7 linked regions of the Macaca mulatta genome follow. The protein of the gene in region 1 purifies or fractionates together with the protein of each later gene. This does not show direct contact. Links are inferred from orthologs where the notes say so. Each region holds a gene or a part of one and is shown in the gene's direction. Other genes may lie near its edges. The genes, in order: PRPF4, ZGPAT, GPHN, SNU13, TUT1, MEPCE and PRP4K.

Region 1 (3,500 bases):
TAATTTTTTATTTTTGGTAGAGACAGGGTTTCACCATGTTGGCCAGGCTGGTCTTGAACTCCTGACGTCAAGTGATCTTCCTGCCTCGGCCTCCCAAAGTGCTGGGATTATAGGCATGAGGCACCGCACCCAGTCATATTTGCCTTTAAATTACAATTGATCTGAAATTTCAGAGTTACAAATTACCAGAAAACAAGGATTTTCACTTTTGTCCAATGCTACAGGTATGTAAGTCTCCCTTCCTGGTTCTGTAAGTTCAGAGAGGCTAGAATCTGCTAGAGAACTTTTTCATTAAGCTGTAATTTACATACAATGGAATGGATTTATTTTGTGTACAAAGCTATCATTCTTTACAAATGTGTACCATTCCTGTGACCCACACCCCTGTCAATGTAGAGAACAGTCCCATCACCCCAGAAAGGTCCCTCATGCCCTTTTCCAGCCAACTCCCCTTCTGAAGCAACTGCTGATCTGACTTCTATCACCATAAATTAATTACGTCTATTCATACTGTGTGAATTCATTTGTGGCAGGCTTCTTTCTCTCAGCATAACATTGTTAAGAGTCATTCATGTTGTTGCATGTATCAGTAATTCCTTTTTATTGCTGGGGGTTGTTCATTTTTATGACTGTGCCATAGTTTATCCATTCTCCTGTTGATGGACACTTGGGCTGTTTCCAGGTTTGGGCCAGTCGGAATGAAGCTGCTATAAATATTCTTGTACCAGGCTTTTTGTGGACATGAGTACAAATTGCTGGGTCATAGGGTAGAGGTATTAGACGTATATTTAACTTTTTCTAAACTCCCCACCAGTTTTCCAAAACGGTTACACCATTTTACATTCCCGGAGTTCTGGTTACTTCACATCCCTGTTAACATTTGGTATTGTCAGACTTACCATTTTGCCCAATCTAGCAGGTGTGTAGTGATCTCCCATGATTTTCATTCTTATTACCCTGATCACTGTTGCTCTTGAGTGCCCTGTCATATGCTTTGCCTGTTTTTTTTAATTGAGTTTGTCTCTTTTGTCTTTATTTCCATGTGCATAGTCAGTTACACCACTGTGTACTGAAGAGACTTTCCTTTCTCTGTTGGAAATGTTTCAGTACCCTTGTTGAAAATCATCTGACCATGTATGTGTGGTTATTTCTGTACTTCCTATTCTCTTCCGTTGATCTATTTGTCTGTGAGTGATTTTTGTATTCCCAACATCCATTTTAGGGCCTAGTAAATGTATAAATGCTTGATAAATGAAAGAGCATAACAGTGGAAGAAGGAAGAAGGCAACACAGTCTTTGCTGGGCCATTCTTGGGGAATCCTGTTAAAATAGCCGCTAGGTTGGGCACGGTGGCTCACACCTGTAATCCCAGCACTTTGGGAGAACAAGGTAGGTGGATCACCTGAGCTCAGGAGTTCGAGACCAGCCTGGCCAACATAGTGAAATCCCATCTCTACGAAAAATACAAAAATTAGCTGGGCATGGTGGTGCACACCTGTAGTCCCAGCTACGTAGAAGGCTGAGGCAGGAGGATGACTTGAACCCAGGAAGTGGAGCTGGCAGTGAGCCGAGATTGCGCCACTGTACTCCAGGCTGGGCAACAGAGTGAGACTCTGTCTCAAAAATAAATAAATAAATAAATAGGCACTAGAGGTTTATAGCGAGTCCATGGTTTTCAGTCAGCACCTAAGGCAGATAAGCTTAGTTGTTGAGTCATTGTTTATGTCAGAAAGGAGCTTCCTGTTAATATGGTTATATGAATAGTTTCAGAAGCATTAATAACAAGCTATAATGACTTACAATACTTTATATGTTGTAGAAACTGGATAAATACCAGCTGGTTGATTGTTAGTGTGATTTGGTTTTAGCTATGACCGTTCATGGCGATTATGGGATTTGGAGGCTCAAGAGGAGATCCTGCATCAGGAAGGCCACAGCATGGGTGTGTATGACATTGCCTTCCATCAAGATGGCTCTTTGGCTGGCACTGGGTAAGGCTTCTCCCATGTAGCCAGGGGCAGCTCAGTACTCTCACCTCTTATGTATGCGTGCTTCCACAGAGAACTGGATTCAAAGTGTTCATTTATAAATTATTTTATCAGGGGACTGGATGCATTTGGTCGAGTTTGGGACCTACGCACAGGACGTTGTATCATGTTCTTAGAAGGCCACCTGAAAGAAATCTATGGAATAAATTTCTCCCCCAATGGGTAAAATAAACACACTGAATGAGGGGTGAAAAAGGGTTCTGGGTCAGAAAGTACTCTATTTCTAACTTCAGTACTGCATCCGATCCACAGCTATCATATTGCAACCGGCAGTGGTGACAACACCTGCAAAGTGTGGGACCTTCGACAGCGGCGTTGCGTCTACACCATCCCTGCTCATCAGAACTTAGTGACTGGTGTGAAGTTTGAGCGTAAGCTTTCCTCCTATTTTAGATCTAAATGACACAGACAAACAGTATTGTGTTCCCGTGCAATACAGGCCAGACTTTAGCTTAAACTGAGAAGTAGAACAGGAGAGAATTTGACCTACTGGTAAAGGAGCAAATTATAATTTCCTTCCCCCTGCCATACCCTTAGATCTGTGGGAAAGCATGCTTCTCGTTGCTGGAAGTAAAGACTTTCATGAGTGCTTTGCTTCATTCTTTCCCCCATGGATGCTCTGAGCACTGAATTCTAAATATTATTCTGAACAGATTTACAGTCAGGGAATGAGCCAGAGGACCTTACTGTTATTTGTTCCCTTAAGTCTGCCTTGGGTTATCCCCTTTACCTGGAGGCCTAGTAGGAAGACAGAATCAATGTTGACTTTTTCTGAATGTAGAAATAAGTTTTTTAAAAATAGTATGTTTTTGCAGACTTTTGTGCTTTTGTTGTCTTCTCTTTTGAATACCTGAATTCCTCAAGCAATTCCCCTTCTCTTCTGTAGCTATCCATGGGAACTTCTTGCTTACGGGTGCCTATGATAACACAGCCAAGATCTGGACGCACCCAGGCTGGTCCCCGCTGAAGACTCTGGCCGGCCATGAAGGCAAAGTGATGGGCCTAGATATTTCTTCCGATGGGCAGCTCATAGCCACTTGCTCATATGATAGGACCTTCAAGCTCTGGATGGCTGAATAGATGACAGTGGAGAAAGGACTTGAACCTCAAGCTCTTTCTAAGGAGCTGTTTTCCTCAAAAGAGAAGAATTGAAATGTTTAGTTCTATCATGTTTTCTGCCAATTACCATGCGTAGACCCTCACTAGAATTGGATTTCCATGTCAGCCCCCACTCCAGGCAGGCGGCCCAATCCCTAGGTAATGGTGAACCCATCTCATGGTTGAAAATTTATTACCTTTTTATGCCCTGCCATGAACTGTGTAGACATTGTTTTTATTAATCTTTTGTTTGGCCAGGCATGGTGGTTCATGCCTGTAATCCTAGCACTTTGGGAGGCTGAGTTGGGCAGATCACTGGAGCTCAGAAGTCCAAGACTAGCCTGAGCAACATGG
Region 2 (2,359 bases), on another chromosome or scaffold:
TGTACAGTAGGCCCTTGTGTGAGTGTGTGTGAGACTGTGTGTACATGTGCGTACATGTGTAAAGTGTACAGTAGGCCCGTGTGAGTGTGAGAGACTGTGTGCATGTGCATACGTGTGTAAAGTGTACAGTTGACCCTTGGTATGTGTGTGTGTGTGACTGTGTGTGTGTGTATGTGTGCATGTGCATACATGTGTAAAGTGTACAGTAGGCCCTTTGTGTGTGAGAGAGACTGTATGTGTGCATGTGCATACGTGTGTAAAGTGTACAGTTGGCCCTTGGTATCCGCGGGTTCCATAACCATCAATTCAACCAATCTCCAGTCGAAAATAATTGGGGAAGAAAAGGATGGCTGCGTCTGTACACTGTATAACAACTATTTACATGGCGTTTACATTGTATCAGGTACTGCAAGTACTCTAGGGATGATTTAAAGTATATGGGAGGATGTGCATAGGTTGTATGCAAATATTGTGTCATTGTATCTAAGGGACTTGAGCATCCTCGGGTTTTAGTGTCCACAGGGGGTTTCCTACAGATACCAAGAGACTACTGTATGTGTGTGTGCAAGTGTGAGTGTGTATGCATGTATGTGCATATGTGCATGTCATGTGTGTGTACGTATGTGCATATGTGCATGTCGTGTGTGCATGTGTGCTTGTATGCATATGTGCATGTTGTGTGTGTGCATGTGTGTGTATATGCGTGTATGGGTGTATATGTTAGTACATGTGACAGTGCGTGTGTGCGCATGTGTGTGGGTGACTGCATGTGTGGGTGAGGGCACGTTTGTGCGCGTGTGTGTGCATGTGTGTGCTCGTGTGGGTGAGTGCATGTGCACACGTGTGTGAGAGAGCGTGTGTGTGCGCGCATGTGTGTGGGTGAGAGTGCATGTGCACGTGTGTGAGCAGGCGTGTGTGTGCGCGCATGTGCGTGGGTGAGAGGGTGCTTGTGTATATCCATGTATGACTGCATATGTATTTGCATGAGTGTGTGTGTGAGTGCATGTTTATAAATGTGTGAGGGTCTGTGTGTATGTGTATGACTACATGTTTATGTGTTATATGCATGTGTGTATGTGTGTACATGTGTATGTGCATGCGTATATGTGTATGTGTGTGCATGCGTGTATGCATGTGTGAGTGTATGTGTATGTGTGTATATGCATGTGTATGTGTGTACGTGTGTATATGCATGTGTGCGCCTGTGTATGTACGTGTATGCATGTGTTAGTGCGTGTGCATGTGTGTACGAGTATGTGTACATGTGTGTATGTGCATGTATGTGTATATGTGTGCGTGTGTGTGTGTATACATGCATGTGTCTGGCTCCCTCAGGATGGTGCCCAGGTGGATGGGTCAGTGCTCCTGGGTTTATTTGCCCCTGGTGGCCCATGTCTGAGCCCTGCCCCCTATGGCTCTGTCTGCAGGTTCTCCCATGGGCAGGTGGTCCCTCTGGATGAGCTGCGCCCCTTCCAGGACCCAGACCTGAGCTCCCTGCAGGCCGGCTCTGCGTGTCTGGCCAAGCACCAGGATGGCCTCTGGCATGCGGCGCGCATCACCGGTGAGGCTGGCCGTGGAGGCCTTCCGGGAACACCCTCCCAGGCTCCACACGTGTTATTACTGCGTGGCTGCTCCCTGCCTCCTTTGGGATGAGTGTTGGGACTCTGGCTCTGGGCCCGAAATGAGCACATCTACCCTCAGCCTCTGCCCTGCCTTGCTCCTGATGTCCAGGGTGGTTCCCCATCAGTGGCAGCTGCTGTCAAGGATGCTGACCTGCAGCTTGTCTCTGCCTCTAGATGTGGACAATGGCTACTACACAGTCAAGTTTGACTCGCTGCTGCTGAGGGAGGCCGTGGTGGAGGGGGACGGCATCCTGCCCCCACTGCGCACAGAGGCCACAGAGTCCGACTCAGACAGCGATGGCACAGGTGACTCCAGCTATGCCAGAGGTATGGCAGCAGCTGTGGAACCCAGGAGCCAGGAAGGTGGGGTCACCCTGAGAGGCTCCTGGCTTTTGAGGGCACCGACCGTCTAACCAAACTATTGGAGAGAGTGGCCACAGCGAGGGCGCCAGCCGTGCCTGGGGAGGCCGTGTGGGGCAGGGGTACAGGAGTGCGAGTGAAGGGCCGGGGTAGATCCGTGGTGGCCTTTGTCTTCAAGGAGCGTGGGTACAACAACTACAGTCTCACTGATGGGAGGCCATGGTCATGGCTGTGGCCATGGGAGAGGAGGCGCCCGGAGTTGCCAAGGAAGTCACAGAAAATGAACAACCGATGAGGCCTGGAGTGCAAGAGGGGCAGCTCCTCTGCATGGCTTCTCAAACTTGGGACCTGGGTGCCTGGTGGATCCTGGCAGACAG
Region 3 (4,288 bases), on another chromosome or scaffold:
CCCTCTAGCCTGGCGACAGAGCGAGACTCCGGATTAAAAAACAAAACAATCAAAGTGACTTTGAAATTTGTGTATAAACACTGATATTATACATTTTTCACTTTGCTTTTCACTTTTATGCCTCCAGGTTTACTACAGCTAAGAAGAAAAAATATATACATATGAGTGTGTGTATACACACACACACACACACGCATATAACTTTTTAAAATTCAGAAGCTGAAAGGTCCAGAAAGATAGTAAGAAACTAACGTAGAACAGCCACAGGTGATTAATAACACGTTTCATGAAAGGCACATGGAAATAAATGGCAACAAAAGCTATTTTCATGGTAATCTCACATCCCACGAATACTGAAATGAGAATCGTTGCGGCAATGGACTGTGATTCAGGTGGAACACGTTCTCGTTCGCTAAGGAGATAGATGCTTTTCACCTAAAAGCAGCTCTCACGGCGAAGAGGCTTAAGGCCATAAAACCGTGGGACAGCAGGAGGAAGAGAAGCCAGGTGTCTCCACTCCAGTTGCCCTGCCTCAGACTCCTAAGCTTCGCATGTGAGGATCGTCTTGTAGGCACTGACTGGAGATGGAATCCTAAAACACAGGTGAAGCGGAAATCTTCCTTCAGGGAGAGCCGACTGAGGAAGCCAGCGGCTAACACTGGGCGGGACAGGATACCTCCCTCTTCGCCCACGGCAGGCTCTCTATCATAGTAGCCGTCGTTCTGCCACTCAAACGCAGCTTTTTAAGGCACCTCTAGGTTCGCCAGCGCCTTCAGTGGGGCGGCCGGCCGCTCCCGAGGGCTGCAAGACGCGGCCCGGCGTGCTGAGCCAGTGTCGCTCCTCCCGCGGTCCCCTCAGAAGGCCGGCCCGCCGGCTACAGTCTTCCGAAGGCGCGGACAACCGACGAGGTGTCAGGCTCGGCAGGGGATTGCTTCTGTCTGGGGCCCGGCCGAGGTTGCGTTCCTGCCTAGCGCGCACACGCTCCGCGTTCACTCAGCCAATCCCGCGCTACTCGCGCACCCAGGAGCGATCCGCGGTCCTACTCAGGCTGGGCCCGCTCCTTCCCGCTCCTTCCCGCTCCCAGTACTCAGCACCCGAGCTCTCACTCCTCCCCTCACTCTCCACGAGTTCCACGCCTCAGGGTGTAGCTCCGCCCCTGTCCCCGAGTCCGCCCCCGCAACCTCCAGAGCGTGTGCTCTCCTTTCCTCTCAGTCCTGCCATCTAGCTGCCTTGGGTCTCGCGCTCCGCAGAGCGGCCCGAGCCTCTCCAGCCTCGTTCCGCCGCCTCCGCGCGCTCTCCCCGTGCGGCCACCGACCCCTCCAGCTCGCCTCCTTCCTGCCGGGCTTGGGGTCGCGCGCCCTGACTCCGCCCCCTCCCGCGGACCCGTGCACTCCCGGCGCGGCCTCTCCCCCACGCAGGCCACCGAGCACTCTACGGCCTCCCACTCCTTCCCCGCTCTCCTCGCGCTTCCCTGGCTCCCTAGCTCTCGCGCTCTCCGCGGCGAGCGCGCTCCCGGCCCGCGCGCTCCGGGCTCCAATTTCTCCCGGCTCCTGTCAGTGCGGTGACTGCGCTGGGAAACATGGCGACCGAGGGAATGATCCTTACTAACCACGACCATCAAATCCGTGTCGGAGTCCTTACAGGTAACCGGGGGAGGAGGTGCGGGACCTATGAGGCTGCAGTCCCTGACTTGCCTTAGGCTTTTCGCCTGTGGTGGCCCTTCTCTGCGGCCTCGGGAGGAGGGAAGGCTGAAGAAGGGAACCGCGGGGGTGCATTTTACAACCGCTGAGAACCGCCAGAGATTGGGGGTGTTCCCGCGGGTCCCTTTCCCCAGCCCGCCGGAGCCGTGGTCGACCCCGTGGGATGTCAGGCCCCAGCGCCTTCGGAAACAAAGTCCTGGGCCCCCGGGGACCGAGGGGCCGGTGCGGAGGGCGCTGCGGGATCCTTGCTGTCGGTGCAGGCGGCGGGATCCCGGCTCCGCAGTCTGAAGCATGCCGCTCTCGGCTGGCCCGGACGCATCCTCCGTTAGTGCTCTTCTGAGAGAGGGGGGAATCCCATCTCCACCCCCTTCCTCCCTTTCCCTTCCCCCAACCCGGGCGGCCCCACGCCAGTAGCTGTGCTTGCCCGGACGCGACTCAGGTGTTAATCAGATGAAACTGCTTCTCCTCGGGTTGTCCCTCGCGGGCCGGGCATCCCCTCAGCCACCCATGGGGCACCCTTCGCCTCCTTCGGGGGATGGGGGATCGGCTTGATCCGGACCTCAGAAAGTGTCTGCCTTCTGCCTTACCGAGCAAAGGGCCCTCTGCCTCGTCGTTTCCTTAGCGAGGACGGGCTGCAGCTTGCGGCCGGGGGATCCAGCTCTTTTTACTTGAGAGGGCAGGATTCCCCTACTCGGGCTCCTCTCCCCCTCCTTTCTGGGAACCCCCACCCCGGTGGAGCGTCCCGAGGCTGGTGAGGAGCGCACTTTTCCCGGGTCGCGTTTCCCTCCCTCGCGAAAGCCGTGTGTGCTCTGCATGTCTGATTCCGTTGCGCTGAATGTGGTTAATATCCGTCACTTCGGCGATCGGCAGTTGCTGCAGGGCATGACTTCCAAGATGAACGCCAAGCCGATTTGTAGGGGTTTCTGCTGTGGTTCTGTAGTTGGCAAGGTTTATGTGTAATTGAGTGGCGAGGCGGGGGTTAAAGAACTATATTTGGAATCTGAGGGCTTAGTTTGGAGTGAAGGAAGCTCAAGACTCAGTGATGTGATTTCGGAAAAAGAAGCAATGTGTACGGGAATCCTAGTGTTTCCCTTACTTCTTTTAAAAAAATTTTTTTTAACTGCCAAATTCTGACAGGTCGAGACGGTGCTCGAGAAGGGACTAAATTGAATAAGACTTGCTTTTATTATTAGGTAGAAAAAAAAGGTCTGAGGCTGCCGGCAGATACTGAGTGCAAAGCTTAATTTAGTTGCTGAATTTTATGAAAAGGTGATATCCAAAGCCTCCTTTTCTCTCTTTTAAGTAAAGGATTGCCTTTCCCTGGTATTGTTTCCGTATATCGATGGTGATTAATTGAATTTTCCTAATCAAAAGATCCTTTGGTAGTGAAACTAGTCTAAACCAATTGCAGAAAAGGGAACCCCCAAATCAGAAAGGTACGCGGTTCTCTTCTTTTGATCCTGAAACTGTTTGGTTATGTGAAGATTCAGTTGTATTTCAGAATTCCTGGAACTGACATTGCCAATTTTCGAATAATCTGATGATGGGATGTGAAAGTGTATATCCTTTATCTACCCTCAACTTGCACTTTAAATTCTAGCCATTCTTTAACAATTAATAGAGTAGTGAGAAACCAAAATATGTCAGTTGTCTGTGGAAATAAAAAAGGCCGTAGATGTTTAAAAGTTAAACTGTAGAACTATTTTTAAAATGAACATTTCTGCTTAAGCTTTCCATTAAATAATAGTTTCATTTAACGAATCATCTTAGCTTTGTGAAGTGACATAGCAGGTAGGTGTTGTACAGACTGCTTTGAAAGATGCAGACCTTATCTCGTGTCCCTACAGTCTGATATGGATAACATTGATAGGCAAACAACTCAAGAAACATTGCATGTAATTATTGTGCAAAACTTTTCTAAATACATTTTCTATGAGTTTGGGGTTAACTGCAAAAGAAATTCCATATTCAGATGGATTAGGAGCAAATATGACTACCTGAAGGGAGAATTTAATACATTTGCTAGAGTCAAGAAGAAACTGGCAATTTTAAGGGGAGTTGAAAGTCAGCTGCCACTTTATAAATAAATATGTAGTTGATGGTGAGGCTCCTGAGCAGAATAAAAATGTAATATAAAGGCCTTGGAAAGCTCAAGTGGAATAGGTAGGTGGCATAGGTAAAATGTCAGAGAGAAGATAACATTAACATTGACAGTGGAATTAAAGACAATCAGGGGAAGCTATTATGAGAATGAGGTACAGTAGTCCAGGGCCAGGAAGAAGGATGTAGCTGAAGGAATGAAAAGGCAGCTACAGATTTGGAAAAAGTGGTAATAGAGGAAAGTAGGTTTTGATGGTAACATGTATATTTGAAGTCAGAAATAACTTACGCTTTTTCTTGAAAAGTTATTGATACAGATATTGTCTACTGTGATGGAGAGGAAAGAAAACTGATTTTTCTCAAGTCTGTAACTAGTGGGTTTCATTATCAACAGCTTAATTTCTGTGGTCTTGCCTGATACATGATTTTGAGGAAAGAACTTACAAAAATGAAGCTGTGCTATGCAAATTTGTGTATTCTAGAACTTC
Region 4 (4,126 bases), on another chromosome or scaffold:
GCTGATGCCCCATCCTCAACTCTGACCCTGGTGCCAGGGCTGGCTAGCATGCTCTTGGTGCAGGTAAGGACAGTATTGGGGAATTGCTCAAAAGTAATTAAGAGGAAGAACTTGTTTTAAACAACCCCATCCTCTGGAATGAAGAGATTAAGTTCCCTGAATGTGTGATGGGGTTATATAACCTGCAGTCTGCTTGATTTCTTTCTTCCTATGAGATACTTGGATCTGCCTGTCCTTCTATCTATTATCAAACATTTAATAAACACTGTATTGAATACAGGTATTATTGTTTAACCACTCAGCATCCCTTTCTCGTTGCTTGCAGTATCCTGATTTCCCATGGGGTAATTACTTTTCCCATCTTAGGATCAGTGTTGGTGGGAAAATAAATGCTACCCTGAAGACTCTTTTACCCAAAGGTTCTATTCAAAATAAATATCTGAGCAGGCAGGGACGTCAGCCAATCATAATGAGCCAGGACTTAACCGTTTAGTGGCTGAATTTTTTTTTTTTTCAGACCGAGTTTTGCTCTTGTTGCCCAGGCTGGAGTGCAATGGCGCAATCTCTGCTCACTGCAACTTCCGCCTCCCAGGTTCAAGCGATTCTCCCGCCTCAATCTGCCGAGTAGCTGGGATTACAGGCATGCGCCACCACCCTCGGCTAATTTTATATTTTTAGTAGAGACAGGGGTTTCTCCGTGTTGGTCAGGCTGGTCTCGAACTCTCAACCTCAGGTGATCCGCTCGCCTCAGCTTCCCAAAGTGCTGGGATCACAAGCGTGAGCCACCGCGCCCGGCCTTGTTTTGTTTTGTTTTGTTTTGTTTTGTTTTTTTGGTCTTTGAGTCTTGCTCTGTTGCCCCAGCAGGAGTGCTGGAGTGCAGTGGCACGATCTCAGCTCACTGCAGCCTCCACCTCCGGGGTTCAAGCGATTCTCCTGCTTCAGCCTCCCAAGTAGCTGAGTTTGCAGGCGCCCGCCACCACGCCTGGCTAATTTTTGTATTTTTAGTAGAGACGGGGTTTCGCCATGTTGGCCAGGCTGGTCTTGAACTCCTGTCCTCAAGTGATCCGCCCGCCTCGGCCTCCCAAAGTGCTAGGATTACAGGCATAAGCCACTGCGACCGACTGGTGGGTTATTTTTTGAATCTTTAATTCATTGTTTCTGCCAATAATTTGTACTGGACAGCTCATAAGAACGCCAAAGTACGTTCCTTCATCAACACAGAGCCAGTTTCCGCGCCAGTGCCCCGTAGGGGGCGGGGCCCGCTAGCTCGCTTGCGTAGCGTCATCTTTGCTTCCTGCCGCGCGGGGCCGTTTCCGCTGCTGCTTCAGTGAGTTTTTCCGGTGGAGGCGAACGCTGCTCAGAAGTCGGCTGCGCTCTCCTAGAAGTGCCGAGCCCGCGGAACAGCAGCCATGGTGAGTGCGTGCGCCGGCCAAGGGACCGGGAAGCAGGAGACTCGGGGTTGCGTTCACTCCCTGGCCTGTTAGATGAAGGCTTAGACCCTGCGCCGTCTCATCCGCCGGCGCTGGGTCTTAACCGCCGGGCCCTGAGTTAGAACTCCAGCAGCCGCGGGTTCCCAACAGCCTGGCCCGAGGTTAGAACTCGAGGTTAGAACTCAGGAAACCTCAGGGATCCCCGCTGCTGTGGTGCTTTGCCGCACGATCTGTTTGCGTGGCAGAAGGTCTGCGGCGAGCGGAGGGGGCATGGCCTAGCGGGAGAAAGAGACCAACCCACGTGGGAGAGGGCAAAAAGTTGGGTGAAGAAAATTTGGCTCCAACTTTTTTTTCCCCTTGTTTCTTTAAGTACGAAATCTACGATGGCGTGGGACCCTGGGATTCGGATCAACCTCTCCTACCCACCCTACCTCACCCCACCCCCGTTGCTGGGGTCCAGGAGATCTCCTGTGGGTGTGCGCCTAGTGCTCGCCGCGAGTCACACGCGCCAGGGACCTAGAGGAGACTTTGGCAATTGGGGGCTGTGGGGAACATGAAGTGAGCGCGACTCACGGCCTGGAGCGCAGGAAGGGCTTCTCCCGCAAGGTGGTGGCTTCAAAACCCAGAAGTCTGGTAGCACCACGTGCGGCGTCTCTGAATTCTTGGTCGTCTCTGACTTTTAAATATCTAGGGAAAGTTCTAAAACGTGTGTCCTGGCGTAGTCGTTTTGGTTGGCACTTGGTGAGGAGGGAAGAATTTGCAAAGCACTGTAACGTTTATAGTTAATCCTTCCAGCGGAGCTTGGATCCCGGCGGTAGCACTCCCCCCAAACCTCCTCCCATGCATTTTGAAGCTTAGTGCGTGGCTGAGCCTAGAACTCGAAGCTTTCAAACTCAGTGCTCGCTTTTATGCAGTTCCCTGAAACGTTTTGGAATCGGATGGTCTCAGGTTGAACTTTGCAGTTTTCCTCAACTGTAAAATGGGAATGACAGTGCATCAGGATGTTGTGAGGATCAGATGAAATAAAGCATGTTAAACATCTAGTCCTCATGCTTGGCACAGAGTGAGCACGCAGTATTTGTTGTCCAATCAAAACCTTGCAAGTTTTGGCTGTCTGGTGTACAGGGAAACCAAACTGATCACGCTAGGTACGGATTTAGGTTGGCTGGTGGTATGCTATCATTCATTAATTTATTTAACCTCTGAAGAAATTGAAAGGCGAATAAATACACCCTAAGCAAGTTTCAATTAGTGTTTATAAGCTAGGTAGTTTGGTTTTAAAATTGAGTTTAACTTTTTGTTTACTAATAGTGAAACATTTAGGTATTTGATGGCTGTTCAGATTCCTGAAGTTTTCCTCTTATGAATTTGATATTTATTGAGAGTTGAGGATCCTGATTTCCAGAGAATGGGTTGTTGGAAACAACAGCAATTTTAAAAGTTTTTTTAAATTGACATATCATAGTTGTATGTACTTTGGGGGTTCCACATAATATTTTTAAGTATATCTATTTTAAAATGTGGGACAGGGCCAGGCACGGTGCCTCATGCCTGTAATCCCAGCACTTTGGGAGGCCAAGGCGGGTGGATTATGGGGTCAGGAGTTCAAGACCTGCCTGGCCAACATAGTGAAACCCTGTCTACTAAAAATACAAAAAAATTAGCCAGGCGTGGTGGCGGGCACCTGTAATCCCAGCTCTTTGGGAGGCTGAGGCAAGGAGAATCGCTTGAACCTGGGAGGCAGAGGTTGCAGTGAGCCAAGATCGCGCCACTGCACTTCAGCCCGGGTGACAGTGTGAGACTCCGTCTCAAAAAATATAAATAAATAAAATAAAAGGTGATAAATTATTAACCAAAATTTCCAGCCGGGTACGGTGGCTCACACCTGTAATCCCAGCACTTTGGGAGGCCGAGGTGGGCGGATCATGAGGTCAAGAGTTCAAGACCAGCATGACCAACATGGTGAAACCCCATCTCTACTAAAAATACAAAAATTAGGCGGGCATGGCGGTGCATACCTGTAATCCCAGCTACTTAGGAGGCTGAGGCAGAAGAATCACTATATCCGGGGAGGCCGTGGTTGCAGTGAGCTGACATCGTGCCACTGCACTACAGCCTGGGTGACAAAGCAAGACTCTGTCCCAAAAAAAAAATAAAATCCCTACTGTAGTATCAAATAAAACATATTTGTATGGCCGGATGTGGTGGCTCACACCTTTAATCCCAGCACTTTGGGAGGCCGAGGCAGGTGGATCTCGACTCACTGAAACCTCTGTCTCCCGGGTTCAAGCGATTCTCCTGTCTCAGCCTCCCAAGTAGCTGGGATTACAGGCACGCACCACCACGCCCAGCTATTTTTTGTTTTTGTTTTTTAATAGAGACAGGGTTTTGCTGTGTTGGTCAGGCTGGTCTCAAACTCCTGACCTCAAGTAATCTGCCTGCCTCGGCCTCCCAAAGAGCTGGGATTACAGGCGTGAGCCACCGTACTCAACCTAAACAATTTTTTTTTTAATTAGCCAGGTGTTGGCCGGGTGCGGTGGCTCACGCCTGTAATCTCAGCACTTTGGGAGGCCGAGGCGGGCGAATCACAAGGTCAGGAGTTGTAGACCAGCCTGGCCAACACGGCAAAACCCTGTCTCTATACTAATAATACAAAATTTAGCCTGGCATGGTGGCGCATGCCTGTAATCCCAGCT
Region 5 (3,500 bases), on another chromosome or scaffold:
GGCCTTTGCTCCCCTGCGTCTATATCCCCAGTCCTCCCTCCGCTGGAAGTGTTTGGTTGCTTTTCCATCTTTGTGCTCCCTTTTGTTCTTCCTCCCCCTGCTCCTCCCTAACTTCTCTTGACCTTTCTTCTCTGCTTGGCACCCAGGCTGTGTGGTCCACCCTTTTGGCTCTTCCATAAATAGCTTCGATGTCCATGGCTGTGATCTTGACCTCTTCTTGGATCTGGGTGACTTGGAAGAGCCCCAGGTGAGTGAGTGCCCCAGGGAGGCAGCTGGGAAGAGTCCATGAGAATGGCCATGTGACTGTGGGCAAGTCCTTTAGCTCTCCATGCCTTAGTTCCTCATCTACAATGCAGATAATAGGACCTACCTGAAAGGATTTATTGTAATTGGAGAGATGTGAATATGGATGAGTATTAGATGGGATGAAAATGAACTGACAGGGCCAGGCAAGGTGGCTCACACCTATAATCCCAGCACTTTGGGAGGCTGAGGTTGGCGGATCACCTGAGGTCAGGAGTTCAAGACCTGTCTGGCCAACATATAGCGAAACCCCGTCTCTACTAAAAACAAAATACACTGGGCATGGTGGTGTGCACCTGTAGTTCCAGCTACTTGGGAGGCTAAAGCAGGAGAATCACCTTGAATGCAGGAGGCAGAGGTTGCAGTGAGCCAAGATTGCACCACTGCACTACAACCTGGGTGACAGAGGGAGACTCCTCCTCAAAAAAAAAAAAAAAAAAAAGAAAGAAAAAATGAATTGACATGGATACCTGGCAGTCGTAACAAAAAAAATTTTCAAAATGGTGTGTACAATATGATTTTATTTTGGAAAAAATATATTAAAAATTATACAATAAGGTCCTTTTAGTTTTGCTCTGTGTATTTTCTTTCTTTCTTTTTTTTTTGTTTTTTTGAGACACAGTCTAACTCTGTCACCCAAGCTGGAGTACAGTGCTGTGATCTCTACTCACTGCAACCTCCACCTTCTGGGTTCAAGTGATTCTCGTGCCTCAGTCTCCCAAGTAGCTCGGAATACAGGCACACACCACCATGCCTGGCTAATTTTCTGTATTTTTAGTAGAGATGGGGTTTCTCCATGTAGGCCAGGCTGGTCTTGGACTCTTGGCCTAAAGTGATCCACCCACCTTGGCCTCCCAAAGTGTTGGGATTACAGGAATGAGCTACCATGCCCGGCCACTTACCTGTGTTTTCTATTTTTTTTTTTTTTTTTTTTTGAGACGGAGTCTCGCTCTGTCGCCCAGGCTGGAGTGCAGTGGCCGGATCTCGGCTCACTGCAAGCTCCGCCTCCCGGGTTCACGCCATTCTCCTGCCTCAGCCTCCCGAGTAGCTGGGACTACAGGCGCCCACAACCGTGCCCGGCTAATTTTTTGTATTTTTAGTAGAGACGGGGTTTTACCGTGGTCTCGATCTCCTGACCTTGTGATCCGCCCGCCTCGGCCTCCCAAAGTGCTGGGATTATAGGCGTGAGCCACCGCGCCCGGCACCTGTATTTTCTAACATCTAATGTACAGATTCTGTTTTAGGAATAGAAAAAGATAATTATTATTACTTAGAAATAGGGTCTCACTATGTTGCCCAGGCTGGTCTTGAACTCCTAGGCTCAAGGAATCCTCCTGCCTCATTCTCCCAAATTGCTGGGATTACAGGTATAAGCCCGCATGCCCAGCCTATTATTATTTTCAAAAAATAGACTTGGCGGGGCGCAGTGGTTCACGCCTGTGTGATCCCAGCACTTTGGAAGGCCAAGGCAGGTGGATCACCTGAGGTCAGGAATTTGAGACCAGCCTGGCTAACATGGTGAAACGCCGTCTCTACTAAAAATAGAAAAATCAGCCGGGAATGGTGGCGTTCGCCTGTAATCCCAGCTACTCCGGAGGCTGAGGCAGGAGAGACAGCTTGAACCCGGGAGGCGGAGGTTGCAGTGAACCAAGATCGTGCCACTGCACTCCAGCCTGGATGACAGATTGAGACTCCATCTCAAAAAAAAAAAAAAGACTTTATTTTTTAGAGCAGTGTTAGATTCACAGCAAAAGTGAGCAGAAAGTAGAGTTCCTATATGCCTGCTGCCCCCGCAACAGGAGTTTTTAAATGTTTTATCATTCTTTTTGTCGTTCTCTACACACTTTCTTTATTTGTATTTTCTGAATCATCTGAGAGGTTGCATGTATCACATTCCTTTACCCCTCAATATTTCAATGTGTGTTATGCAAGAACAAAGGTATTCTAGTGTATAACCACAGTACCATTGTCAAGTTGAGAAAATGTTACATTGATACAAATGTAAACCTTTAGACTTTACATTCCATACTCTAATTTGGTCAGCTGTCCTGACAATGGACTGTTATGGTTTCTGTTTAGTCTTCTTTAGTTTGTAATAGTTCCTCTGTTTTTGTCTTTCGCGATAATGACATTTTTTGCAGAGGTAGACCTTTTATTTTATAGAATTAAAAGGTTATCTTTAAAAAAAAAGGTTGGTGTGAAGATTAAATGAGTTAATATGTATAAAGCCCTTAGCATAGAGCTGAATAAGCTGGAAGTGATATTATCTTGGGGATAGAGATGTTCTCTGCTTAGGGGACAGCAGAAGCATTTCACTCAGCTCATTTCTGTCCACAGCCAGTCCCAAAGGCTCCAGAATCTCCATCGCTGGACTCGGCCCTGGCTTCGCCACTGGACCCTCAAGCCCTGGCCTGCACCCCAGCCTCCCCTCCAGATTCACAATCTCCAGCTTCTCCCCAGGATTCTGAAGCCCTGGACTTTGAAACCCCTTCCTCCTCCCTGGCACCCCAAACTCCAGACTCTGCCTTGGCCTCTGAGACCCTTGCTTCTCCCCAGTCTCTGCCTCCAGCCTCACCACTGCTGGAGGATAGGGGAGAGGGGGACCTGGGGAAGGCCCTGGAACTAGCAGAGGCCCCAAAGCGGGAGAAAGCAGAAGGGGCAGCAATGCTGGAGCTGGTGGGATCCATTCTCCGGGGCTGTGTCCCTGGGGTGTATCGAGTCCAAACTGTGCCCTCCGCCCGGCGCCCTGTGGTCAAGTTCTGTCATCGGCCTTCAGGTCTCCACGGTGACATCTCCCTCAGTAACCGGTATCTTTCTTTTTTTCTTTTTTTTGAGACAACATTTTGCTCTTGTTGCCCAGGCTGGAGTGCAATGGCACCATCTTGGCTCACTGCAACCTCCGCCTCCCGGGTTCAAGTGATTCTCCTGCCTCAGCCTCCCAAGTAGCTGGAATTACAGGCATGCGCCACCATGCCCGGCTAATTTTGTATTTTTAGTAGAGACGGGGTTCCTCCACGTTGGTTAGGCTGGTCTCGAACTCCCAACCTCAGGTGATCCGCCTGCCTCGGCCTCCCAGAGTGCTGGCATTACAGGCGTGAGGCACCATACTTTTCTTTGGGGCAGGCCGGCTGAGAATTCTGGGGTGCGCCAGGAGGGAGTCTGGCTTGGGAAACTCCTGCACCTGCCAAGTCTCAAGT
Region 6 (4,279 bases), on another chromosome or scaffold:
CTACCTTCAGGAGCAAGGAGGACCTAAAGGCGAGGTGCAAAACCAGCTGGCGCAGCGACTCCGCAAGCCTCTCACACCTCAACCCAGGTTTCCCGCCACCAAGAAAAGGCACGAGGACGTCGGGCGCGCTAGCTCCACCCCCGGGAGGCGCGCTCGCGGAGTCTGAGGCGCATGCGCAACTGGAAACAGCGTCTGCGTTTCCGCGGCTGAGGTAATTCCGCCATCTTTCACCCGAACGTCCCGGGAAAACTACAAATCCCAGAATCCTCTTTGGTGTCACATATTTTTAGGCGGCGGCCGCAGCGCCTGATTGTTCTTGAAGCACATCTTACTAACTTTTCTCTGTTTCAGATTGCCTTTTCCTCCCTCTTTCCGTTCCCTGATTCCTCCTCTTCCTGCTGGTCTCCTTCACGCCCTCACTTTAGGATTTTATTTGAGACTTTCCGGGACCCCACTGTCACCCCTGTCACCCGCTCCTCGGCCCAGCACTCCGCTGGCAGGAAGACCGGGCTGCGAATCTCCCCGGGAAAACGCCGTAGATTCGCTTCTTCCTCATTGGCCGAAGCGGGGGGGGGGGCCCAGCGCGGACCGAACCCCCGTCCCCGCCCACACTCTCTGGTATATAAGTCGGCGCGGCGCCGCGGCGGGCGTTTGGGGAGGCCCGTGAGCTGACGGGCCAGTGAGCGGGCGTCGGGAATGGGCGGAGGCGTTGGGGTCCGGGCCGTGGGTGTGGAGGCGGAGAGGAAGGCGTGGTGTGGCGTCTCCAGGTGATTGCGATTGGGGGAAGGCAGAGGAACCAGAGAACGACTCAGCCGTTTCGGGGGAAGAGGAAGTTGGACAACACCGGCTGTTTTAGTGCTTTTTCTTTTTCCCCAATTCAGCAGAGAATATTTTCGAGGGGGGTGAGTTATAATGACCTATCGCGTTTTACTGAGCCCAGTTCCACTCCTGCCCTTCCTCGGCTTTGTAGGGTCTCTCTGCTCCTTCGGAAGCGCTTCTAAGAAGATGGGCAGAGGGGGGAGGTGTGCTACCAACAGCTCATGAATAATTCATGAGCACCGCCCTTCGTCGGGAAGCCCTGCCCCTCCGGATCGCGCTGACGCACGCTGCGTTTACCAAACTTAAGGAAGCGACGTCACAGGCCCTACCCCTAAGACGGGAGGCGGGGCGCCACCTCCAGCACGTGCTGCCTGTACCCGCGCAAGCCCAAAAGGGTGTGCGCAGGCGCTGCCCACTAGGGGGAGGAAGGAGGCGGGGTGGGGAGGTTGTTGGATTTAGAGCCGGGTGGAGACCGCTGAGACTCATTCCTCAGGAACAAGGGTCGGGTGTCAAGGAGACCTTTTCACACCAGGTCCCGTCCCCCGCCTACGGTGGGTGGGATCGCGCGGCAGAGACAAAGGAGATCAGTAGGGCCGGACCTAGCTGCGCAGGGAAGTAGGGTGTCAGTTTGGGGTGGTGGGCTTTTGCGGGGGCTGTGTGGGGGGTTATATTTAAACTCCCAGAGCCGTTAAGTTGGTTCGTACTCCGATGCGCGCGCAACCAGGGTGGTGGCGGAGTGCGCATGCGTGGTTCCGGGGCGAAGGGAACGCGCGCTTGCCGTGCGCGCTCGCGGCGGGGTGGTAGTGGCGGAGGAGAAAGGGGTCGGCGCACGCGCGGTTGAGTGCTCGAGTAGTTCGGGTGTCGCGGGCATCTTGTTTTGGTCTCGCGGGCGAGTGGGGCGCACTTCGCGGGGAGGCGCTTGGGCGCGAGACTAGGCGAGAAGAGCAGAGCTGCGCGCGCACTCGGGAAAGGGGGGGAAGGGAGCAGGGTCCAGGCAGGGGGGGTTAAGCCCCCTGATCCCCCTCGTTACCCCGACTGGGACGGAATAAGGGGAGGAAATGATCGAGATGGCGGCGGAGAAGGAGCCGTTTCTGGTGCCGGCCCCGCCGCCGCCGCTCAAAGATGAGTCGGGCGGAGGGGGCGGCCCCACTGTGCCACCGCACCAAGAGGCCGCCTCTGGGGAGCTCTGCGGCGGGACGGAGCGTGGTCCGGGTCCTTGCGCGCCGTCTGCGGGGTCCCCGGCCGCTGGGGTCGGTCGAGAGAGCCCCGGGGCCGCGGCCACCCCCCCCGGTGGTCCCCAGGCGCAGCAGCACCGAGGAGGCGGCCCCCAGGCGCAGTCGCACGGGGAGGCCCGCCTGTCGGATCCCCCGGGGCGAGCCGCTCCCCCGGACGTGGGGGAGGAGCGCCGGGGAGGGGGCGGGACAGAGCTGGGTCCCCCTGCTCCTCCTCGACCCCGCAATGGCTATCAGCCCCACCGGCCACCTGGGGGGGGCGGGGGCAAGAGGAGAAATAGCTGTAATGTAGGGGGAGGTGGGGGAGGCTTTAAACATCCGGCCTTCAAGAGGCGCAGGCGGGTGAATTCGGACTGTGACTCTGTGTTACCCTCCAACTTCCTCCTGGGGGGCAATATCTTTGATCCCCTGAACCTGAATAGCCTCCTGGATGAGGAAGTGAGCCGCGCCCTCAACGCAGAGACCCCTAAGTCATCCCCCCTTCCGGCCAAAGGGCGAGATCCAGTGGAGATCCTCATCCCCAAAGATATTACTGACCCGCTCAGTCTCAATACTTGCACTGATGAGGGCCATGTAGTTCTTGCTTCGCCACTCAAGACTGGTCGGAAGCGGCATAGACACCGGGGACAGCACCACCAGCAGCAGCAGGCAGCCGGAGGGAGTGAGAGCCACCCCGTGCTGCCCACAGCCCCTCTCACCCCCTCACTCCACGGGGAGGGCGCCTCACAGCAGCCGCGGCACAGAGGCCAGAACCGGGATGCCCCCCAACCCTATGAACTCAACACAGCCATCAACTGCAGGGATGAAGTGGTGTCTCCGCTTCCATCTGCTCTACAGGGTCCCTCAGGCTCCCTATCAGCCCCTCCAGCTGCCTCAGTTACCTCTGCACCCCCATCTTCCTCCTCCCGACATCGCAAACGTCGCAGGACTTCCAGCAAGTCGGAGGCAGGGGCTAGGGGTGGAGGCCAGGGTTCCAAGGAAAAGGGCCGAGGGAGTTGGGGAGGCCGTCACCACCACCACCACCCACTGCCTGCAGCAGGCTTCAAAAAGCAACAGCGCAAGTTCCAGTATGGGAATTACTGCAAATACTATGGGTACCGCAATCCTTCCTGTGAGGATGGGCGCCTTCGGGTGTTGAAGCCTGAGTGGTTTCGGGGCCGGGACGTCCTAGATCTGGGCTGCAATGTGGGCCATCTGACCCTGAGCATTGCCTGCAAGTGGGGCCCGTCCCGCATGGTGGGCTTGGATATAGATTCCCGGCTCATCCATTCTGCCCGTCAGAACATCCGACACTACCTTTCCGAGGAGCTGCGTCTCCCACCCCAGACTGTGGAAGGGGACCCGGGGGCAGAGGGTGAGGAAGGGACCACCACCGTTCGAAAGAGGAGCTGCTTCCCAGCCTCGCTGACTGCCAGCCGGGGTCCCATCGCTGCCCCCCAAGTGCCCTTGGATGGAGCGGACACATCAGTCTTCCCCAACAATGTTGTCTTCGTCACGGTAAGAGGGTCCAGAGGCTCTTGGAATAGGGGTCAGGTGTGAAGATGAGATTAAACGGGAATGTGGCAGGGAAGGTTATGACCCAGTTCCTCAAAAGAGAGGTCTGGGTTGGCAAGTGAGAGTCTCTGCTGGGCATCTCTCCCCTCTTATAACCTGGAAAGGTGGGGTCTCTACCTTGGGGCATTGACCCTGGAGTCCTTTCTCATGACTGCAAGGATCTCCAAGATAAAGGAAGACTCTCTTTTTTTTTTTTTGCAGTGCTCTGGGCTTGGCCTATAATCCACACTGGTCCACCTTCCCTTCCCTTGAAGGCTGCTGCTCACTAGGGAATTCGATCCAGGTGGAACTTGGTCCTCAGGTTGACTGAAGGAGCCTGAGATGGGGGTCGGGCATGGAATGTCTTCTAGGGAGATTAGGGTAGCAGCAGACTAATATTGGCGTTTCTGCCCTTTGATAGCCACCTTGCTCCCATCAGCAGCTTTTGTTTTTCTAGACAGTTTGTGAAGAGTGTCAGGAACCCAAGTGACTTGGCTGTAGATCCTCTCCACATTGACCCTAGATAATGGGAGAGGGAAGAACCAGAAACTCCTCTGCAGAGAGGAGAGCCCCATGCCCCACGGAGTCCCCTGACCCCACACAGCTCCCCAGAGAACTCTCCAGTTAGGCCGCCTGCTGGGATCTTTGGCATTGCATTGGGTTAAGCCTTGAAGAATGGTCTTTTTAGAGGGTTG
Region 7 (3,500 bases), on another chromosome or scaffold:
GACGAGGTTTCCCCATGTTGGCCAGGCTGTTCTCGAACTCTTGACCTCAAGTGATCGCCTGCCTTGGTCTCCCAAAATGTTGGAATTACAGGCATGAGCCACTGTGCCTGGCCCGTTTACATTTTTTAACTGGTCTTTGAGATTGCGCGTGTGGGCGAGCAGATTAAATAAGAGTTTCCTCAGATGACCCTATCAAGAAAGCACTACCAAGAAGTAAGCACTGCAGATCTGAGTCAAAGTCTACCTTGCTCATTTTGGCTGGATCAGAGAAAGATTCTTGGGTTCTGTATACTGTGCTGAAACATGCAAGACAGGTTGTGTTTTTAGGTTTTTATTAAATGAGGAAGGCTGGGTGCAATGGCTCACGCCTGTAGTCCAGCGCTTTGGGGAGGCTGGGACAGGTGGATCACCTGAGGTCGGGAGTTCGAGACCAGCTTGACCGACATGGAGAAATCCTGTCTCTACTAAAAATACAAAATTAGCTGGGTGTGATGGCTCATGCCTGTAATCCCAGCTACTCGAGGCTGAGGCAGGAGAATCGCTTGAAGCTGGGAGATGGAGGTTGCAGTGAGCCGAGATCACACCATTGCACTACAGCCTGGACAACAAGAACTAAACTCCGTCTCAAAAAATAATAATAAATTAGGAAAATACTGTAATGTTATTATTTGATTATGTAGACAAACCTATTTACAGTCTGACTGTTCAGATTAAATAGTTGTGTCCAAACCTGGAATAACATTAAGAAATGTTCAAAACCTGTTTTGAAAAATTAAGCTGTAGAAAGGCCTGTTGTAATACAAATATCACATTAAACGAGTAAAACTCACTGAAAGGTACTTCTGTGATAAGTATTGAAAAGTTGGGTTTTTGTGGGGTTTTTTGGGGAGGCTGGAGGCAAGGTCACACTCTTGTCATCCAGGCTGGAGTGCAGTGGCATTATCTCTGCTCACTGCAGCTTCTGCCTCCCAGACTCACGCCATCCTCCCACTTGAGCCTCCCTAGTAGTTGGGACTATCTTCACATGCCACCACACTTGTCTAATTTTTATATTTTTTGTAGAGATAGGGTTTCGCCATGTTACCCAGGCTGGTCTCAAACTCCTGAGCTTAAGTGATCCGTCTGCCTCAGCTTCCCAAAGTGCTGGGATTACGAGTGTGAGCCACCACACCTAGCTATTGTTTTTGGTTTTTTGAGACAAGTTCTCACTCTGTCACTTGGGCTGCAATGGCACAAACACAGCTACTGCAGCCTCAACCTCGTGGGCTCAGGTGATCCTCCCTCAGCCTCTGAAAGTGCTGGGATTACAAGTGTGAACCACTGTGCCTGGCCTATTATACTTGACATTAAAAATAAGATTTTTGGCCAGGCATGGTGGCTCACGCCTGTAACCTCAGCACTTTTGGAGGCCAAGGGAGAACCACTTGAGGCCAGGAGTTCGAGACCAACCTGGGCAACACAGCGAGACCCCCATCACTACAAAACAAAATTAGTCAGGTGTGGTGGCATACCCTTAACGGTTCCAGCTACTCAGGGCGGGCTGAAATGGAAGGATTGCCTGAGCCTGGGAGGTCAAGGCTGCAGTGACCCATGTTCGCGCCACTGCACTCCAGTCTAGGTGACAGAGTTAGACCCTGTCTCAAAAAAAAAAAAAAAAAGAAGAGATCCTTAATTGGAGAAATGTCAAAATGTAGAAAGAAAAAGTCTTCAATGGAAATGGGATATTTGAGTAAATGGAATATTATACTCACGTGGGCAGGTTTTATTTGGGTTGTTTATTTGAAATTAGAATCAGTAACTTTACTGGTATGAATAACCTTTAGTAATTCTTCAAATTGTGGGACCAGAGGAAATAAGACCTTTCATTGTTTGCCTGCAATAACACTAAAATGTCATTGTGGCCATCTGAGTAAGTTTTGTTACAAAACACATTAATTAGAGTTCACTCTCTTTAGGCTAGTGTGCCTTTTCTTACAGATATTCCTTGCATATAGAAAAAAAATCATTTACTTTGATTTATTTTTCTTTTAACTTGCATTTGATCCCCTTAAGAACACGACCTCGAGATGATATCCTCAGTAGACGTGAAAGATCAAAAGATGCCAGCCCCATCAATAGATGGTCTCCAACCCGAAGAAGAAGTAGGTCTCCCATTAGAAGGAGGTCTCGTTCCCCACTCAGACGTAGCAGGTCTCCAAGAAGAAGAAGCAGGTCTCCTCGGAGAAGGTAAAGACATTTCATCCTTGTGATTCATTAAACTCTGAATGTTTTTAAACCACCCATGAGCTCAGTTGGTAGGTTTTCTTTTGACCAGTTTTCTCTGAAAAATCGTAGTTGTGTTCCCAGTTTCCTTTTACCAGCAGTCTTTACACGTGGGTTTTCTTTTATATCGTTTCCTTTGAATTTTAACCAAATCATTACTCATTTAAGATGCAATAAAATTAATCTTTTAAGAGTAGGACTTTTTTCTCTCTTTTATGAGAGATAAATATTAAATGAGCCAGGCTTAGGGATTTTTTTTTTTTTTAACTGGCAAGGTAGATCATATAGTAGTAAATATGTAGTCCAGTTTCTTATCATTTTATATTAATTTTGCATATTGATAGTTACTGTAGACTTTGGCCAAGGCCTATTTAATTTGCCATAGAAACCACTTTATCTGAAGCATATGTAATCAGTAGTAGGTTAAAAAGGTGGTTTATAAAGCAGGGAATCATTTTTTAAAATTCATACATACATGAAATATTTTGATATAAAACATAAATGGGTATTTGTTCGCCCATCTTTTAACATTTTTAATTGAAGTAATAAATGAATGTAATTCTTAAAAAACAAAGGCTTATATTGTAGTCATCTCTACATATCTCTCAGAATTTTTGTATGCTGTATTCCTAGAAGTGGAAATGCATGGTCTGAGTACACTCTGGACAATGAGGGGTTTTATTTATTTGTTTTTTTTTTAGACAAAGTCTCACTCTGTTGCCCAGGCTGGAGTGCAATGGCGCAATCTCACTGCAACCTCCACCTCCCGAGTTCAAGCAATTCTTCTGCCTCAGCCTCTCAAGTAGCTGGGACTACAGAGGTGCGCGTGCCACCATGCCCGGCTAAATTTTTTTTTTTTTTTTTTGTATTTTTTTAAATAGAGGTGGAGTTTCACCATGTTGGTCAGGCTGGTCTCAAACTCCTGACCCCAAGTGATCCGCCCGTCTCTGCCTCCTGAAGTGCGGGGATTAGAAGCATGAGCTGCTGCACGCAGCCACAATGAGGGTTTTTAATACCCCCCCTCACCCATGTTTCTCTTTTGCCTATTTTCATCACACGTTTTTGTTCTTCTAGAGTCAGTATAATCATTGTGATCATGTATGTATTCATTGCTGGGCAAATAGTTGGGGGAGGAGGGCAGAGAGGACCTGCCTTCTGAGACGGCTAGTCTGCTGGCTCCAAGCTCATCTTACGACTTGCTTTTTTCTCTCTCCCCTTTTTATAAAAAATTTCTTGTG

What was found.
Region 2: the proteins of PRPF4 (region 1) and ZGPAT purify together in Homo sapiens (affinity purification with mass spectrometry; 4 studies listed by BioGRID and IntAct, counting the BioPlex papers as one, with this or other methods). This does not show direct contact. The link is inferred for Macaca mulatta from reciprocal best matches to the Homo sapiens genes PRPF4 and ZGPAT.
Region 3: the proteins of PRPF4 (region 1) and GPHN purify together in Homo sapiens (affinity purification with mass spectrometry; 3 studies listed by BioGRID and IntAct, counting the BioPlex papers as one, with this or other methods). This does not show direct contact. The link is inferred for Macaca mulatta from reciprocal best matches to the Homo sapiens genes PRPF4 and GPHN.
Region 4: the proteins of PRPF4 (region 1) and SNU13 purify together in Homo sapiens (affinity purification with mass spectrometry; 4 studies listed by BioGRID and IntAct, counting the BioPlex papers as one, with this or other methods). This does not show direct contact. The link is inferred for Macaca mulatta from reciprocal best matches to the Homo sapiens genes PRPF4 and SNU13.
Region 5: the proteins of PRPF4 (region 1) and TUT1 purify together in Homo sapiens (co-immunoprecipitation; 3 studies listed by BioGRID and IntAct, counting the BioPlex papers as one, with this or other methods). This does not show direct contact. The link is inferred for Macaca mulatta from reciprocal best matches to the Homo sapiens genes PRPF4 and TUT1.
Region 6: the proteins of PRPF4 (region 1) and MEPCE purify together in Homo sapiens (affinity purification with mass spectrometry; 4 studies listed by BioGRID and IntAct, with this or other methods). This does not show direct contact. The link is inferred for Macaca mulatta from reciprocal best matches to the Homo sapiens genes PRPF4 and MEPCE.
Region 7: the proteins of PRPF4 (region 1) and PRP4K purify together in Homo sapiens (affinity purification with mass spectrometry; 3 studies listed by BioGRID and IntAct, with this or other methods). This does not show direct contact. The link is inferred for Macaca mulatta from reciprocal best matches to the Homo sapiens genes PRPF4 and PRP4K.

Annotation. Positions count from the first base shown.
Region 1 is NC_133420.1:45,022,425-45,025,924, reverse strand, and holds the end of PRPF4 (U4/U6 small nuclear ribonucleoprotein Prp4), read left to right. Parts: intron 1-1,868; coding exon 1,869-1,991; intron 1,992-2,102; coding exon 2,103-2,210; intron 2,211-2,300; coding exon 2,301-2,419; intron 2,420-2,934; coding exon 2,935-3,128; 3' UTR 3,129-3,429; downstream 3,430-3,500. UniProt on the Homo sapiens protein: Plays a role in pre-mRNA splicing as component of the U4/U6-U5 tri-snRNP complex that is involved in spliceosome assembly, and as component of the precatalytic spliceosome (spliceosome B complex).
Region 2 is NC_133415.1:116,592,814-116,595,172, forward strand, and holds part of ZGPAT (zinc finger CCCH-type with G patch domain-containing protein), read left to right. Parts: intron 1-1,427; coding exon 1,428-1,561; intron 1,562-1,773; exon of another isoform or gene 1,774-1,796; coding exon 1,797-1,949; exon of another isoform or gene 1,950-2,359. UniProt on the Homo sapiens protein: Transcription repressor that specifically binds the 5'-GGAG[GA]A[GA]A-3' consensus sequence. Represses transcription by recruiting the chromatin multiprotein complex NuRD to target promoters.
Region 3 is NC_133412.1:139,613,026-139,617,313, forward strand, and holds the start of GPHN (gephyrin), read left to right. Parts: upstream 1-1,488; 5' UTR 1,489-1,579; coding exon 1,580-1,643; intron 1,644-1,694; coding exon of another isoform or gene 1,695-1,993; exon of another isoform or gene 1,994-4,288. Other genes in the region: uncharacterized protein LOC144330299, read right to left, coding at 1,695-1,993. UniProt on the Homo sapiens protein: Microtubule-associated protein involved in membrane protein-cytoskeleton interactions. It is thought to anchor the inhibitory glycine receptor (GLYR) to subsynaptic microtubules.
Region 4 is NC_133415.1:9,821,489-9,825,614, forward strand, and holds the start of SNU13 (NHP2-like protein 1), read left to right. Parts: upstream 1-1,326; 5' UTR 1,327-1,409; coding exon of another isoform or gene 1,410-1,412; exon of another isoform or gene 1,413-3,100; intron 3,101-3,428; exon of another isoform or gene 3,429-3,678; intron 3,679-4,126.
Region 5 is NC_133419.1:11,486,117-11,489,616, forward strand, and holds part of TUT1 (speckle targeted PIP5K1A-regulated poly(A) polymerase), read left to right. Parts: intron 1-146; coding exon 147-247; intron 248-2,434; exon of another isoform or gene 2,435-2,640; coding exon 2,641-3,110; exon of another isoform or gene 3,111-3,164; intron 3,165-3,500. UniProt on the Homo sapiens protein: Poly(A) polymerase that creates the 3'-poly(A) tail of specific pre-mRNAs. Localizes to nuclear speckles together with PIP5K1A and mediates polyadenylation of a select set of mRNAs, such as HMOX1.
Region 6 is NC_133408.1:47,626,440-47,630,718, forward strand, and holds the start of MEPCE (7SK snRNA methylphosphate capping enzyme), read left to right. Parts: upstream 1-1,479; 5' UTR 1,480-1,877; coding exon 1,878-3,548; intron 3,549-3,806; exon of another isoform or gene 3,807-3,888; intron 3,889-4,279. UniProt on the Homo sapiens protein: S-adenosyl-L-methionine-dependent methyltransferase that adds a methylphosphate cap at the 5'-end of 7SK snRNA (7SK RNA), leading to stabilize it.
Region 7 is NC_133409.1:179,203,391-179,206,890, reverse strand, and holds part of PRP4K (serine/threonine-protein kinase PRP4 homolog), read left to right. Parts: intron 1-2,052; coding exon 2,053-2,226; intron 2,227-3,500. UniProt on the Homo sapiens protein: Serine/threonine kinase involved in spliceosomal assembly as well as mitosis and signaling regulation. Connects chromatin mediated regulation of transcription and pre-mRNA splicing.